2 linked regions of the Cricetulus griseus genome follow. The protein of the gene in region 2 interacts with the protein of the main gene of each other region in a biochemical or structural test. Links are inferred from orthologs where the notes say so. Each region holds a gene or a part of one and is shown on either strand. Other genes may lie near its edges.

What was found. The genes of interacting proteins can lie anywhere in the genome.
Region 1: the proteins of Ccna1 (region 2) and Mybl2 form a complex in vitro, tested with the Homo sapiens proteins (2 studies listed by BioGRID, with this or other methods). The link is inferred for Cricetulus griseus from reciprocal best matches to the Homo sapiens genes CCNA1 and MYBL2.

The regions. Positions count from the first base shown.
Region 1 is NC_048599.1:16,446,242-16,449,741, reverse strand, and holds part of Mybl2 (myb-related protein B), read left to right. Parts: coding exon 1-61; intron 62-1,639; coding exon 1,640-2,056; intron 2,057-2,846; coding exon 2,847-2,986; intron 2,987-3,500. UniProt on the Homo sapiens protein: Transcription factor involved in the regulation of cell survival, proliferation, and differentiation. Transactivates the expression of the CLU gene.
Region 2 is NW_023276806.1:96,102,541-96,106,828, reverse strand, and holds the start of Ccna1 (cyclin-A1), read right to left. Parts: upstream 2,801-4,288; coding exon 2,636-2,800; intron 1-2,635. UniProt on the Homo sapiens protein: May be involved in the control of the cell cycle at the G1/S (start) and G2/M (mitosis) transitions. May primarily function in the control of the germline meiotic cell cycle and additionally in the control of mitotic cell cycle in some somatic cells.

The DNA of each region.
Region 1 (3,500 bases), on a different chromosome or scaffold from region 2:
AAACCTCCTGATACCTGCTGTGGGGTCCAGCCTCTCTGAAGCCCTGGACTTGATTGAGTCGGTATGTTGGTCCCAGCACTTCTCTTTTGAATTTGCCTTTTTCCGTCATCCTCCTAGCATATATTGACTGATGGAAGTTGCATAGCTCCGACCAGACTGGGGACACCAGTGAGGTCGCTGCAATCCTTGCCCTACAGTGTGGAATGGGGTGAAAAGGATTCTCAGAGAGGGCACTGAATTGGCATCATATAGTTATATCTCACTGGAAAGGGCCCTGGAAGTGCCAGGGGTTATGGTTGCAACCTCTGGAGCAGCAAATGGGTTTGGCTTCTCAGGCCAAGGCCATGCTATGCTTACTGTCCTAGGTTGTGTTCCTTATGTGGCTTTTCCTGAGGAGACAAACAAGTATCTGTTTACTCAGATACAGTACTAAGGACAGATTGAACAATTCCACACAGCTCTAGCATGGTGAGCTAATGAGTTCTTGGAGACACATAGAGGATTGTGGGCATCCTGCAGTCCCATAAGACGGCTTCGTCACCAGAAAGCTGACCCAGCATGACCATAGACTCAAGCTGCATCCCTGGAGCTCCCAGCCCAGCTTGCATGCAATCCTCAGGGAGGAGTCTCTTCTTCACCAGCAGTTACTTACAGCTTTATAACCTCAGGGAGGGGCCTTCTGGCTCTTGTAACTTTCCTCTAGGAGGGAATGTGTCATTTCTGAGAAAATAAACAATGACTTTGCCTGAGAGCCTGTGGGCGGGGCCACCCCTCTGATTTGCTATCGAGCTTTAGGCTGTATCATCTAGGAGTTAAGTCCTGACTGACTCAGACCTCAGACTCTTTTACAGTTTCCTTCTGGGAGGGCTGAAGATTAGGGAAAGGCTCTACAAAAGCTGCTCTCCATCCTCTCCAGCATCCTCCCAGGCATTCCTGCAGCATACGCTTTCTAGCTCCAAGATGTCATCAGTTTCCTGGACCTCTGATCTTTGAGATCGGGTATAGGGCTGAGGTCAGCCTAGCTGCAAGCTAGTTTCTACTCTCAGGAATGAACTGTCACTGGCTCCAGCAAATCCCAAGAACCACAGCTTGTGAGTGGGCTCTGGATCTACACAGGGCCACACCTCAAGGACCATAGTGGAACCTTCTGTTTCCAGAAGCCTTTGGGTAAAGGCAAAGGACTGTGGTGATCTCATGATCTTCGGAGCTTAGTGTGGGTTCCTTGATATCAAAGTAGGAAAGGGAGCCAGTGAGATGGCTCAGCAGATAGAGGCACTTGCCACCAAGCCCACCAAGCTGAGTTTAATCCACAGGACCCACGTGGCAGTAGGAGAGGACTAACTCCTTCAAGTTGTCCTTGACATTCACGTATAAATAAATGCAATGAATTAATAAAAAAAAAAAGGCAAAAGTCGTGCTTCCTAGCAGGTTGCTATGGGGATTGTGAAGCTGTTGATGGGCAAGAATCCCATTCAAGCTTCAGCATAATACATATACATATACATAGAATGTTGAGGAAATGAATGTAAGTGGTAATGACTGATCCCAGGGATAAGGGACTGAATATGACACTGGTGTATTTTCTCGTAATGAATGAAGTCCTACTGTATTAGGACCTTCTAACCTCCCTTTCTGGCAGGACCCTGATGCTTGGTGTGACCTGAGTAAATTTGATCTTCCTGAAGAGCCATCTGCTGAGGGCAGTGTCAACAGCAGCCCAGTGCAGCCCCAGACATCACAGCAGCAGCAACAGGCACAGTCATCCCACCAGAGCGCCACACCAGGTCCCAGCATGACTGAGTATCGGCTTGATGGCCACACTATTTCAGACCTGAGCCGGAGCAGCCGGGGGGAGCTTATCCCCATTTCCCCCAGCACTGAGGTTGGGGGCTCAGGCATTGGCACACCACCCTCAGTGCTCAAACGGCAGAAGAAACGGCGTGTGGCCCTGTCGCCTGTCACAGAAAACAGTGCCAGCCTGTCCTTCCTGGATTCCTGTAACAGTCTCACCCCGAAGAGCACACCTGTCAAAACCCTGCCCTTCTCTCCTTCCCAGGTGTGTGGGCCCTTCTGGCTGCCTTGGCTCCCACATATAAACACTTAGTGCCCAGTGAGGTCTGGCACAGGTACACACTAGATAATCAGTATTTGCTGAGTATCTCCCTGTGCTCAGTGCTGGGGGCCCAGTGCTAGTTGAGAAAACCAGACCTGGCCCTGCCCTAATGAAGCTTACACTCTGGGTGGTAAAAGATCCAGATAAGTGATAAAATGAAGAAGAGGCAAAGACTTTAGTCACTTGTCCTGTTTTTTTTTTTTTTTTTTTTCATCAAAATACTTGATGTGAAAGTAATTGAAGAAAGGACAGCTTTATTTTGGTTATACCCTATGACAAGGAGCTGAAAGTAGCTGGTTACACTGCAGCCAATCAGGAGATGGAATGATGTCCTGTTAGGCTCCCCTTTTCCTTGTCATTCAAAGAGTCCAGGCAGTGACTGACACTGCCTACAGTAGGGTGGGTCATCCCTATCTCATTTAACCTAATCTAGAAAAGTCCCTTTCAGACAAGCCCAGAGGTTTGTTCCCATGGTGATTGTAAACACCATCAAGTTGGTGTTTCAAAGGTGGAAGGATTTCTTCCATTGAGAAAGCTGCAGGGCCTTGTTGGATGATAGAGAAAAGACAGAAGGACTGAGTCATACTTGTTGAAAGAAGTTTTTGCTGGTGTCCTACAGGTCAGGACAAGACCTCAACCTTATAGAACAGGCACAGGGAGGGGTGTCTAAGGATCTATTCGTCTGTCCCTCAAAGGCCTCATCTTGTCACATGTTCTATCTCTTCCCTGGCAGTTTCTGAACTTCTGGAACAAACAGGATACCCTGGAGCTGGAGAGCCCCTCGCTGACGTCCACTCCAGTGTGCAGCCAGAAGGTGGTGGTCACCACACCCTTGCACAGGGATAAGACACCCCTTCACCAGAAGTATCCATCGTGAGTGCCACGGGGCCACCTGCCCACCCTGGGCAAAGGGGAAGTCTCTGATCCTGGGGAGTGGCCGCCGTATCTCTTTGTCCTTGTCTGAAAAGCCTGGTTCTTTCCCTTCTTTTTCCCTCACTTTTATTTTTTAACTTCATAGTCCTAGCTCTCAGAAACAGTGTTCAAATTGCTGCCCCAAAACACTAATATTTCCCCTTCTTTGATAAGCATCAAGTATAGATCATATGTGTTTGAACCTGGAAGTGCCCCTGGGCTGTCTGCCTCAGGAGCCTAGAGCACTGCGGTTGTGTCTGTCCTCAGCCTGCTGTGAGTCTGTCTGTCCTCAGCACGTTATGTACAGTGAGCCCACTTCCTCTTTTGGCATAATGGAATTCCAGGTGGGTGTCTGTCCAAGGAGCTAGGAATTTTGCACAAGGTAATGAGATGACTTTTCAGAAGCAATTTACTAATCCACTGTTTAGAAATCACTCAGTCAAATAATGATAATCTTGCAAGACATAGTTCTTAG
Region 2 (4,288 bases):
ATTCAGGAAAACATCATGACCTTGGAGCCCTGTGCTACAAAACATTCTAAAATGGTATGAAAATATTTTTGTATATCATCATTACTCTTGGGGAATTTTCTCAAATCATTTCTTTTCTTTATTCTTACAGAGAGAACAACAGAAACAACAGTGGCCCTGTCATAGTGAACACTGGCAACCAGTGGTCTAAGGAGAGTTATGTGTGGCAGCCAGAGCAGGCCTAGGAGTTAGACTTTGATATGCCAGTACCATCAACTGTGAACATTTTGCTTATACTTAATCTTGGTAGTTATTATTGGATACCACTTCCCAATTCATATGTCACTTCATGAATTTACTTTTCATCAAGGAAGTTAAACTTATGTTTAATAAGAAAAACAATTTGTAATAAAATGTTAGAGGAAAAAATTCCATGAGGCAAGTTACAACTAGCCATGACTCATGTTACTGCTGGGTTTGAGTTCTGCTCTACGTGTGTGTGTGTGTGTGTGTGTGTGTGTGTGTGTGTGTGTGTGTATCTGTGTGTGTGTGTGTATGTGTGTATCTGTGTGTGTGTTGTGTGTGTGTGTGTGTGTGTGTGTGTGTGTGTAAGAGACAGAGGAGAGGCAATGTGTTGCATAACACATCAAGAAAGAGTACTTTTTACTAAACTGAGCAAGAATAAATGGTTTCAAAGAAGGAAGAATGGCCACTTATGTGAAAGGTGTCAATATATCAAGGAAGACAAAACTGAGTGAGAGAAGACTCAGAAACAGAAAGTGCCAAGCCAACAAACACACCAAGCTTGTCTAGCCAGGCCCATCACTCTTCTGGACAGTAGGAATACCACAGAAAAGTGTCATCCCCACATTGTCACCCTGGTGGAATGCCCATACCATTAAGATAGACAGTTTCTAATAAATCTTGCTGTAACTGGGACAGTAGCTGCACAGAGATAGCTGTGTGGCTGGACAAGTTTGAAGATGGGAAGCTATTTCCATATATCCATGCATGTATGGATTTGCTTCAGAGAGATAAGAAATTGGAGAAAGAGAAGAATTGTTAGAGAGGTACCTTGAAATCCAAGAGGTCATGGGTTCCAGTCACAGAGCAGGAAGGGAATAACACAGGGGAGCAGTAAAGATTCTAGCTGCTGGCCCAAAGTGAACAAACATGTAATTGTAGCACTAGAATGGATGAGGTAGGAGGGTCCTGAATTTGAGGCCATTTAGAGCTATGTACCACATCAAAGCCAGCTTGGCCTAGACTCTCCCTACTCCCTGGAGTTGGGAGGAAGAGTGAAGTTCTGGCTGAAGCATTCTTTTGGGAAAGCAGGATACAGTCATCTTATTCTTTATTCTGAAGGAGCAGGGCTGTGAACAATTAAGGGTTGAGGCAACAAGACGGTTCAGAGGGTAAAGACTCTTGTTATCAAGCCCAGTGACCTGAGTTCAAACCTCAGAAGGAGCTTCCAATCTTGTCATCAACCTCTACATGAATGCTGTGGCATGCATGCTCACAAACACACATCATATATGCACACATGTACATACATAGTAATGAAGGAATTAAATTATTTTAAAACCAAATAGAAACCAAAGAACAAATAATAGGGAATCAGGCTTGAGGTGGGTTTCTATGGAAGGTGTAGGGGAATGGAGTGTCGAGGAGACACCAAGCAGTAACTCCGGTAGCACAAGAGCTGAGTGTGAATTTCAAACAAGGACATTCAATGTAAACACCACTTTTAATTCATAAATTCAGGTCTCAGATGGCAAGTTTAAAGAAGTGAAACATTGCTAAGCCATTTTTGTTAAAACTATTTTCACTTGGCTTGACTCAGAGCATTAAAGGGATCATCTGGGGGATCACTGCCACCAATGGATACAGTCAGACCCAAGAGCAGAGGACTTGAAGAGGCAGTAGATGAAGGGTCTCTGAATGAGCCTCTACTGTAACAGGTGGGAGGGATAAACCATCTCTAACCTGCCCTTAAAACCCACCCACCTGCTGGACTGGACTCTTGTAACCATTGGGTTCCACAGACTTGTAATACAGAATTGAGGCCTCGTTACAAGGGTTTATCTAATAACAGGCTTAGAGGACACTTTATTTTCTATCTCAAAAAGTCACTGCTGCAGATTCAAATCTCTCCTCTACATTTAAACGTCTGAATTTGATGCTGTCTTCGGTGCCAGTTATACAGTCAGTTAAGAGCAGACTGGTAGCATCTCAGTGCCATTGTCTGTAGTGGTAGATATGTTTGCTCTGGATGCCACCTTTCTCTTAAAAGATAAACTAGTGTATCCTGGTACACACGCTGTCTCCATTGATTGATTTCTGGTGGCCTGGCTCATCCATACAACTTTCTGGCCCAGAGGTTCCTCCCAACCCCACCCCCACCCCTGCACTACAGATCAAAGTAATCGCATCTCCCTTCTGACTAACTCTTAAGTCACTTAACACATTCCTAACCCAAACAGTCTCTAAGATTTACTTCTTTGATATAGGGGGAAACACACACACACACACACACACACACACACACACACACACACACACACACACACACACACACACACACTCAGACATGCACATTGCCGCAGGCAGGCAGGCCTTCTCCACAGCATCTTCCCTGATGCTCCTGGGTCATTACCTGGCCACAGGTCCTCCTGTACTGCTCATTTTCAGTCAACACCCCTAGCACGGTTCTCTGTGGGGGATCCTGGCCGAGCTGAGCTCTAGTGAGCATTTGACAAGCCTCGGGACCTTGGCCCACTGGAGGGAGAGCGACTCCACTCTTGGAGCTGTGGCGACGCATTGCCTAGCAAGCCACAACCTGCTGCTATCCAGGGAAAGAGAAGGAGACAGTTAGTCAACCCTCTCAACCTGGGGACCCAGGAATGCAGAGAATGCCAAGCCCCGGCGGAGTTACCACCCATTTCTCAACTTCTCAACAAACATTAAGGTCAGCGTTTCCGAAGCGAGCCACAGCAGCAGGCATCAGAGCAACTCACAACCAAACACTGGTTGAATAGGCTTTAATCTGACCCCAGGCTGAAGGTTGCAATGAGAGAGAGAGTGGGAGGGAGGGAAGGGAGGGAGGGAGGGGGGGCTGTCTGTCCAAACTCCACATCGGGATTCTCAGCCCACACTGATTTGTGTTGTTTGGGCGGGGGGGGGGGGGATAGAGAGGTGTTGCCTAGGATCCCTGATTTTCCTCCCCACCTTCCCTCATCTCAGACTAAACCCTGAAACTCGAACTGTGGACAAATGATTCCCCTTCCCAAGTGACAAGCAAGTGCTTCTCACCAGAGGAAGGCCCCCAAACCTGCTTGGGAACCCCAGGCGGCCCTGATTCTCAGGTTCTTCTCCTTCTGAGGCGATTAGCCAGCGCACCCAGGCCGGGGCCGGGCGGGCGGGGCCTGGCGTGAAGGGAGGGGACCCGGAGTGGAGAGATTCCAGGGGCGCCGGCTCCAGCGGCTAGGGCTGCTGCGCTCGCCACTGAGCACTTTCGACCCAGCCGCGTCTGTTGAACCAGCCAATCAGCGACCAGTCCGGGCCCCTCCGAGCCGCTTCCATGCCAACCGCGGCGGGCGTGCGCCCGGGTCCTCATCGCCCTGGCGACCGCTCACCTGCAGCGCCGCCGGCTGATGCTTGGCCCCGGAGCGCTACCGGGCGCGGCTAACCGCGCAACCCGGGGCTCCTGAGCCGCAAAGCTGGGCGTACTGGGCGCACCGCACTGCACGTCGCCACTCGCGCCCGTCTGGCCGGCGTCCCCTGCGAGGGCGGACGACGGCCTGCCCACAGTACCCACCCTGGAAGGGACTGTTCCCCAGGAGCCGGTTCCCCCAACAGCCACGAACCCCTCCCTCCAACGTCTCCTGCGCGGCCTGCTCCCGAGAACCCTGGCTCGGGAGAGCGACGCGGGGCCCTCGGGCTGCGGCCGCGGAGCCCTCCAAGTCGGCCCGAGGGCGCGGCTCGCTCCCCTTCCTCACCTCCTTCTCCAGGGCGCCTGCCTTGAGGGCTCCCGACCGTGGGCGGCGGCGGACTGAACCTCATCTCTACCCACCAGGATGGCCAGGTGCCTCGAGTGTGGCAAGGAGAGCTGGGAGAGATTGGGGGCTCTAGGGTAACTCGCGGTGCCGCAGGTACCCGGGAGAGATCTTCCCCATGGGCACCCGGTGGCACCGGGAAGAGGAAGGAACGCGGAGAGGTGCTGGGCCTTGGGTGTTGAAGGGGCACAAGGACAGATTCCGAGCTGGGGTCATTGGGCCGGTGACCTGGCCACGTGTGAAGGGAAAGTCCC